Linked DNA regions of Caenorhabditis elegans. The protein of the gene in region 2 purifies or fractionates together with the protein of the main gene of each other region. This does not show direct contact. Each region holds a gene or a part of one and is shown on either strand. Other genes may lie near its edges. The genes, in order: gly-5 and C06B3.6.

Evidence for each region.
Region 1: the proteins of C06B3.6 (region 2) and gly-5 fractionate together in Caenorhabditis elegans (co-fractionation; one large-scale study listed by BioGRID). This does not show direct contact.

The regions. Positions count from the first base shown.
Region 1 is NC_003281.10:13,185,463-13,190,415, reverse strand, and holds the start of gly-5 (Polypeptide N-acetylgalactosaminyltransferase 5), read right to left. Parts: upstream 3,025-4,953; 5' UTR 2,966-3,024; intron 2,307-2,965; 5' UTR 2,281-2,306; coding exon 2,173-2,280; intron 2,118-2,172; coding exon 1,854-2,117; intron 289-1,853; coding exon 170-288; intron 1-169. UniProt on the Caenorhabditis elegans protein: Catalyzes the initial reaction in O-linked oligosaccharide biosynthesis, the transfer of an N-acetyl-D-galactosamine residue to a serine or threonine residue on the protein receptor.
Region 2 is NC_003283.11:13,907,371-13,910,933, forward strand, and holds C06B3.6 (DUF3444 domain-containing protein), read right to left. Parts: upstream 1,598-3,563; 5' UTR 1,589-1,597; coding exon 1,318-1,588; intron 1,268-1,317; coding exon 1,091-1,267; intron 1,043-1,090; coding exon 828-1,042; 3' UTR 760-827; downstream 1-759. Other genes in the region: stdh-1 (Putative steroid dehydrogenase 1), read left to right, coding at 1-68, 115-231, 280-606; C06B3.7 (uncharacterized protein), read left to right, coding at 2,450-2,475, 3,163-3,503, 3,562-3,563.

The DNA.
Region 1 (4,953 bases), on a different chromosome or scaffold from region 2:
AATTGCAAGAAAATCGATTTTTCGATTTTTTTAAAAAGAAAATTTTTTGAAAAAATTCGATTTTTCTTCTTTTTTTCCGGAAAATCACAAAAAAACTTCAGTTTTTTAGGGAAATTTAAAAAAATTAATTTTTCGATTTTTATGAATTTTGGAATAAAAAAAAACCCACTCAGCATCAATATTAGTTGGCAAAGTTCGATGTACTGATATCATATCAGATGCGTATTGATTAAAAGCGTTGTTGAGCATTCCCTTGTCGTATTTTGCCTTTTCTTCGGTCGATAGTTTCTGAAAATTAGAAAGAAAATAAAGTTTTTTTTTTTCGTTGATTTTAAAGGCAAAACATCAAAATTTCGAAAAAAAAAGAACTAATTTCCACTAGAATCTTAGATTTTGGGGGCCGAAATCGGCCTAAAATGACCTAGAGTGGCTAAAAAATGATCGCGAATTGGATAAAAATGACTAAAAATTACCCAAAATCACCTAAAAATTACCTAATGTGACCAAAAAAAAAAATGAAAATTCGGCCAAAAATTACTAAAATTTCTAAATTTTGCTAAAAATACCTAAACGGACCAAAAATAATCAGCAGTCGGTTGAAAATGACTACAAATTACCGAAATTGGCCAGGAATGTCGAAAATATTTCATATTTAAAATAACTTGATATTTAAAATATTTTAGACATCATTTTTAATCATTTTTGGCCAATTTTCGAAAATTTCCGAGCACTGAAGTGATTAAAAATGTCTGAAAAATGACCAAATTTGGCCCAAAATAGGCGAAAAATGACCAAAAATGACATAAATATTTAAAATATTAAATATTTTAGAAATTTTTATTCATTTTTGTCCAATTTCAGTCATTTTTGGTGATTTTGGACCAAATTTGGTAATTTTTTAGTCTTTTTTTTAATGACTAAGCATAATCGAAAATCGGCCAAAAATGATTAAAAATGACCGAAAATATGTACCGTATTTCTTCTATTAATATGGCTGCAATAATATTTTTCGATGGTCTTCCGCTTGCAATACTAATAGGGAGTGCAAGACTATTAGGGAGTGCAATACTAATTTTCAGAACATTTTCTGACTTTGAGCTTACTAGTTTTTTTCCTGAAAAAACTCGAATCTTATGTGAAAATTCAGAAAATTTGATTGTAATTGCAACAAAAAGGTACAATAACTTCAATTTCATAGAAATTTTACCAAAATTGTTGCAAAGTAGGCAAAAAATGTTGTTAAAATCTCAAAATTAGTAGGGTGGGTTTGTACCAAAAAAAAAAAGTAGATGCAAGACTATTAGGGAGTGCAACACTAACTGCAATACTAATTTTCGGAGGGTTTTCAAGGAGCAATACTAATAGGGAGTGCAAGTCTAATAGGGAGGCCATATTAATAGAAGAAATACGGTATATTATATACATTTTAATCATTTTCGGCAAATTTCGGTCATTTTTAGTCATTATTGGCCAATTTTCGGCAATTTCCGAGCGCTGAAGTGACTAAAAATTTCTGAAAAATGACCAAATTTGACCAAAAATGATTAAAAATCGGCCAAAAATGACAGAAATTGACCAAAAATGACCAAAAATAACCAAATTTGGCCTAAAATTAACTAAAATTACTTAAAATGATGGAAAATCAGCCAAAAATCAGTAAAAAATGACCGAAATTGCCCTAAAATGATTAAAAATCTATACGGAATATTTTCATTTTTAAAATCATTTTTGGTAATTTTTGGCCAATTTAAGTCATTTTTGGCTCATTTTTTTCGCAATTTTGAGAATTTGAGCACATTTTGAGTCCACAAGTTCAAAGAACCGTTATTCCTCAAGAATAATCAAATTCTCACAGTTTTATCGACGACAACTGCCTTTCCAAGCTCTCCGGCTTGCGCTGCGTCTCCTTTTTTATAAATCGGATCGTTCGGATCGACCATAAATTTTGGTTTGGCCAAGTTCCCGCCGGGTTGCTCTTCTTCTTCCACTTTATTATTCTCTACGACAGGTTCCGGCTCAATCGGCGGCCCAAATCCTTGAATTACGTCTTGTTTCGCGGCTTTCGGGTGGAAATTCGCCTCCGCAATTTTATTCGCGAGATCGTTATTTGATCCGATCTGAAAATGGGATTTTAATCACATTTTTATTTTTTTTATTTTTGATTTTTGATACCTGGCTACTATCATTGCTGGTTGCTGCGAAAAAAATCAACGAGCAAATCCAAAAAACTGGAACCAAGAGGAGAACTTTTAATATCGCCTTTTTCTTGAATATAATCATTTCTCAGCGGCAAAATCGACCCGTATCTGCAAAAAAATTAATTTTTGATTAATTTAATTGGGAAATTTCTCAAAATATTTCGATTCAGCTCAGTAAAAACCAGTAAAAACTAAATTTTTCGACAAAAACTCCAAATAAGGACACATCGTCCACGTGTAGTACACGGGTGGTGACCTAGAAACCGACAACTACGTACTACACGTGGACAAAATCGGTGGAACATGTTTTTGGCAGGAATATGATGGAAAAACTATAATTTTCAGGAAAACTAATAAATAGCAACAAAAAAATCAATAGAAATTCGAAGAAAAATCAATATTTTCTAGTTTGACCTCAAAATGATCAAGTTTTCAATGTTAAAACAGATTTTTTTAGTTAGTTTTTTTCTTTTTTTTTCTTTAATATTGTTTAATATGACACTTTTCAGATTTTTGCGTCAGAAATACAGATCCAGGTCTCGACACGACAAATCCTTGTACTCATTGAAGGTGTGCGCCTTAAAATTAATTTTTCAGCTTTTTGAAATTTACTTTAGATATTTGATAATTTAATAGATTTTCATCGAAAAACTAAAAAATCAATAAAAATTCCGCAAATGAACAAGTTTGAAATTACAGTACTCTTTAAAGGCGCACACCTTTTTTCAAACATTTGTCGTGCCGAGACCCAGGGTACCGTAACCTACCGAAAATCCTCCGTTTTATGCTTCAATATCCCTCAATTTTGATAATATAAGTTTGCTGCCTGAAAAAAAACGAATTAAATTGTGAAAAGTAGTAGTAGTATTGGAAATTCGAGTAAAACAAGGAAATTTATAATGCAAACTTTTTCGGACCCAAGGCATACTGAATTCAAATTCACATTAAAAATTTTAGGTTGACGTGGACAATGACGATGAGCAGCAGCATGCAAGGCATGTTAACGATAATATTTGAACAGTTGGGAAGGGAAGGGAAGAGGGTGTATAAGAAGAGAGCATAGAACAGAACCACTATCTTTTTTAGCTTCTCTAATACCTCTTACTCTCTCTCTCTCACACTATATTTACTTTTTTCGGTGGTTTCGGTCAAGTTCAAATGTGCTCGAGAACTGTAATGTTTCAAGTTCGCAATGAGTCACGATTTCGATTTTCCGTGTATCCTAGAAATTTTGTGAGAGAAATAGTTTTAAATGACTCCCTGATTCCGAATATCTAAGTGAAAAAATTCTAAAAAATTTCCCTGATATTATATTTCAGCTTAAAATCGCGATGTGTCGATTTACGAGATTTTCAATATCTTCATTTTCGTCGCTTTTTTCCAAAGTTTCGTTTTTTAAGGTCAATTAAATATTATTTTGCCAAAAAACTAACAAAATTTCCATTTCTTAGGTCAAAACTCGACGAATTCCACGGAATTCTGGCTGTTTGCCGAACTAGGCCATTTTGGGTCGGAGAGATTTTGTGTAGATTTACGGCGCGTTGCGTGTCGCGTCGCGGCTCGTTTTAGTTGTAAAACTGAAGTTTGCTGTCCGTGAGGAGTACACGACACTTTTCCACGCGCTGTCCGGCAGGCGATTATCAATGGAGCGCGAAAATTCAATGAGAAATGCCCAGAACCCCGTGGACGAAAAATCCAAATATATGCTTTTCCCGCCTAAAAATCACAAATTTTGTTAGTTTTTTTAATGATATAACAAAAAAAGTGACCTTAAAAAAAGCACAGTTTTTTTTTTCACTTAAATATCGGAATCAGGGAGTCATTTTAAAATTGTTCTAAAAAGATTTCGATACTCCACATTATAAAATTTTTTACGTCAAAAACATCATTTCCCCCTTATCATCCATCTTACCATTCACACCCATTTTGCTCAAACAGACGCCCACGCCCTTTGCATACTTCTCAAATGGAAACTTCTATTGATAGTGAACCCAGAAGACAAAAGAGAAACGTGGTCATAACTGGGGGGAGTTGTTTGCTGGTTAGAAGAGCCCCGGACGTGCTCAATTGAGCATGACGAATAGGTTGGAGAAGAGAATGTCAGAGACACCTACTTGTAGTGAGAGGGGAACGAAAATGTCTATAGGCTAGGCTAAACTACAAATCATCTTATTTTTTCGATTAATGAAGAAAAAAAATATTTCGAAAAGGGCTTATGTTTGCAATTTTACTACAAAAATTCTGGAATTTCTAGGAAAAATGAGAACGCGAAAAAAAATTATTTGAAAAATTCATTTGGCGCGGTGAGACCCTTTCCAAAATTACTTTGTGCGAGCGCCTTTAAATTGATCTTAGAAAAATTGTTATTGTTTTCTTATAGTTACTAAGTAAGTAAGTAAGTTCTACTCGGTCACAAATTAGCTATAAAAATCTGTAAATTATAAGAAAATTTGAAAAAAAAACATTATACAGTAATCTTAAAGGTGCATACACAATTTTAATTCGAATTCCCGCCGAAATTTTTCTGAAGAAATTTGAATTCCCGCCAAATTTTTTCCATAGTAATTTGAATTCCCGCAAAAATTTTTCCATAGAAATTTGAATTCCCGCCAAAATGTTTCTAGAGATATTCTAATTCCGCACGTGGTGTTAAAGTGTCTTATTTTGGTTCGATCTACAAAAATGCGGGAGAAGAGACGCAGACTTTTCAATTAATTTCTAATGGTTAAGAACGTGCTGAAGTCACATTTTTTGG
Region 2 (3,563 bases):
ATAAAATAAATGGAGGAATTGATTCAATTGCAAATGTTACAATTATCAATACATTGCCAGCAACTTTGGTAGGCAAAACGTTGTTTTTAATGTTTTCTAGTTATTTATTTTCAGCTCTCTGCTGGTATTCTTCCACAAATGGTGCCTCGAAAAGCTGGAATTATCGTCAATATTGGATCAGTTGCAGGATTAGCTACAATGGCTGAATGGTCGGTCTATTCTGCTACCAAGGTATTAATGCATGTGCATACTTTTCTTGATATACAAATATATTTTCAGAAATACGTTGAATGGATCACAGGATGTCTTCAAAAGGAATATGGACACCAAGGAATTATTTTCCAAGCTATCACCCCAGCAATGGTTGCAACAAAAATGGCTGGAAACCCGAATACGTCGTTCTTCACCCCTGACAGTGACACGTTTGCCAAGTCAGCTCTGAACACAATTGGGCATGCATCTCAAACAACTGGATACATTACTCATCAAATTGAATGCGAAATGCTGAAATTGCTTCCAGATTTTGTTATCGACAGATCCATTAAGCAAACAAGTGCTCAGCTCCGTGAGGCTCTGGCAAAGAATGAAAATAAGCCTTTGATGTAGATGTGGTTGAAACTTTATTAAATTTATTGTATTATTTACAATGAATTTTTTGATTTCCAAATTTATAAATAGAGTACATGAAATGTGAACTATGGCATTCCACATAGGGGCTATACTGTAACTGTTTTGTTATAACTATTAAACTAGTATATTTTTCATAAATACTTTATTAATAACCCGATATTTTTTCAGATCTATCATTCATTTGTAAAACATATAATTCATTCCACAGTCAGCCATCCTTTTGGCTTTCGTTGCTTTTTTGCTACAAAATGCTCGTCTAAATTGTAAAACCCTGTTGGTTTGGTAGTTTCGGTAGATTCGGCTTCCAAAGAAGCATTTTCCTTTTCGAGTTCTTCATGTTCTTCTTCGAGCTCTTTCATTTCGTATTGTAGTGCGGGCCAATCTTTAGAAGAATAGCCAAGGAATTCAGGATCTTAAATATCAAAATTTATATAGCCTGGATTTTTTAAATTATACTTACATCGAAGACCAATGTATCTGATACATTTATTGTCAAACACCTTTTTGTGATTCTTTGGAACTCGGACAATGTGGTAGCCAACAACTTTTTCCTCTTTTTTAGCATTGTCAATCTGACTAGAGTTGACGGGCTTCGAGTGGTTCACGCAGTCATGGGAATGGACGTTTCCGAGACTCCCTAAAACATAAAATTAATTATTATAAGGCCTAATTGTTCTGAAAACTTACACCAAGCAAAGTAGAGATCGGGAATTTCTCTATCAATAATCACTGATTTCGAGTCATCACCTTCAGATGATGAATCAAGGAATTCTTGATTAATCTCCCATCTTTTCTTTTTGTTAAGTGAATATACTACTAATGGCTCAAAATCTTTGGCCTCGGATGGAGCATCATTCTCAAAATGCTCAATTTTGACGATTGCTGAGTAGGTTGGAGCCTTTTTGATATAGAAATTCATAAGACGATTTCTGGCGTGGTCCTTAGCGTCTCTTTTCATTTTGAAAGTCTGAAAATCGGCACAAAATTTTTTGGAAAAGAGATGGAGAGAAAACTGGAGTTAGCATTAGGTGAAAGGTAAATTTGTAAGCAATAAAACATTTTCGAAAGTTGGAGCTGAGCGTAAATTTATTTCAAAAATTTTCAATGGAACATAAATAATTGTTCGTCTTCTTGGGTTTCAGCAGATTTATTTTTCCTGTTAAAACAATTTTGCAAATTCGGAATCAAATTTTTTATGGTAAAATTTCTGTCTACGAAAAATACACAGAAAAATGTTAAGTAAAAATCAACCATCGGAGTCCGACCTATTTTGAAAAAAGTGAGTTCAACAGTTAGATCGTTTTACCAAAAAAAAATGTAATTGAAATTGAAATTATAGTCAACAAAGTAGAAACAAAGTTGGGAAAATTTGTGGCTGGAAGAATTTTTTAAGAAAACATGAAAAATATAACATAAAAAAAGAGAATACAAACTGTTTGATAAAAACCTGATAAATTTAAATATTTTAAAAGTTTTGAAAAAAGTGACGTGATGGAAAAAGATCCAAAGTGAAAACGAATTGAAGCATGAGGTTATTTATACCAAATGTAACCGCATGACAGTTCAAAGAACCAGCAAGATAGCAAATGACTTGAAAACACACACCAATCAACTGACTCATGATCACCAATAAAACGTCACTATTCGCGGATGGGGAGGGAGGTTAGAGAACACAAACAAATGAGAATGGAAACCTTGAGGATTTCGCAATATTTTCCAATAAGTTAAAGAATTGCACATTACGCGAAAAAATGGATTTAAAAGGAGGCAAAAATATGAATATTTTATCAACCTATTCAAAGATTTTTGTATATTTTCCATGGAAGCTGATCAGGAATATTTCTGGTGAGTAAGCTTTTTATATTACTTCTCCGCATGTTTTTCTGTTTATTTACGAGAAAACGTAGTGTAGGCATAAAATGTGTAATCGTTGAACCCTTCAGGGAACAATACTTGAAAAATAGTCTGGTGTTTTCTGAAGTTTCACTTTTGATTATTGTGCTAGTGGATCAAAAATCTGGAGAAAAAAATAACAACAAAATTGAAATGAGTTTATGTTCGAGAACTTTGAAAAATGTTAAAAATTGGATCGTTAATTGTTTTTTTTAACTTTAAGGGCAAGTTTTTGAGCCTACCTGCCTACCTTTTTTAATGACCCACGATGCTAGGTTTAAACAGTGTAGATTTACCCATTTTTATGTTCACTTTTCTATCAATTTGTATGAAGTGTGCGGGAAAAGTTTAGACTCCCGTAGGTAGGTGTAAATTTGACAGTTTTTTCAAAGATAACGTGTGAACAATGACGTACTTGCTTATTTCTTTGACAAGAGCGACAAAATTGAATACACAGATTTGAGCCATTTTGCATGTGAAATTTTCTCTTCAATTACATCAACAAAAATGAAATAGATTTTATTTTTAAACAATTTCACCAAAAACCAAGCAACGTCAATTTTTACCAAAAAATCTTTCTGTAAATCAGTTAAAAAATTTACTTTACAATTCAGGAACTCTTTTTAAAGTATTTTATAGGTCTGATGAATGCAAAAACCCACGCCAATCACAAAGCTATGATAGCCACGCTGGTGTCGAACACCAGTTGGCTTCTTTAAAAGACAAGTCAATAATAGTGAAGACATATTATGTTTGGACTGGAGAAGATCAATTTACAAATAGATATTTGGAGAAATTTGACAGAAATGTTATGAGCAAAGACTTGAAACCATTTGTTATGTATTCAATGAACAAGAGAAGAAATTGGGAAATTGATAAATCAGATCGGGTAGAACTTATGGGACAAATACAGGAGTTGCATAAAGGGGAAGATGTTATGTTTTTGGAAAGAGTTTCAATGAGCACTTGGGAATGGCAAAGTGAGTAGCAAAAAATGGGAAAAATTCAGATAGTATCATATTGGATACTTATTTCCAGCT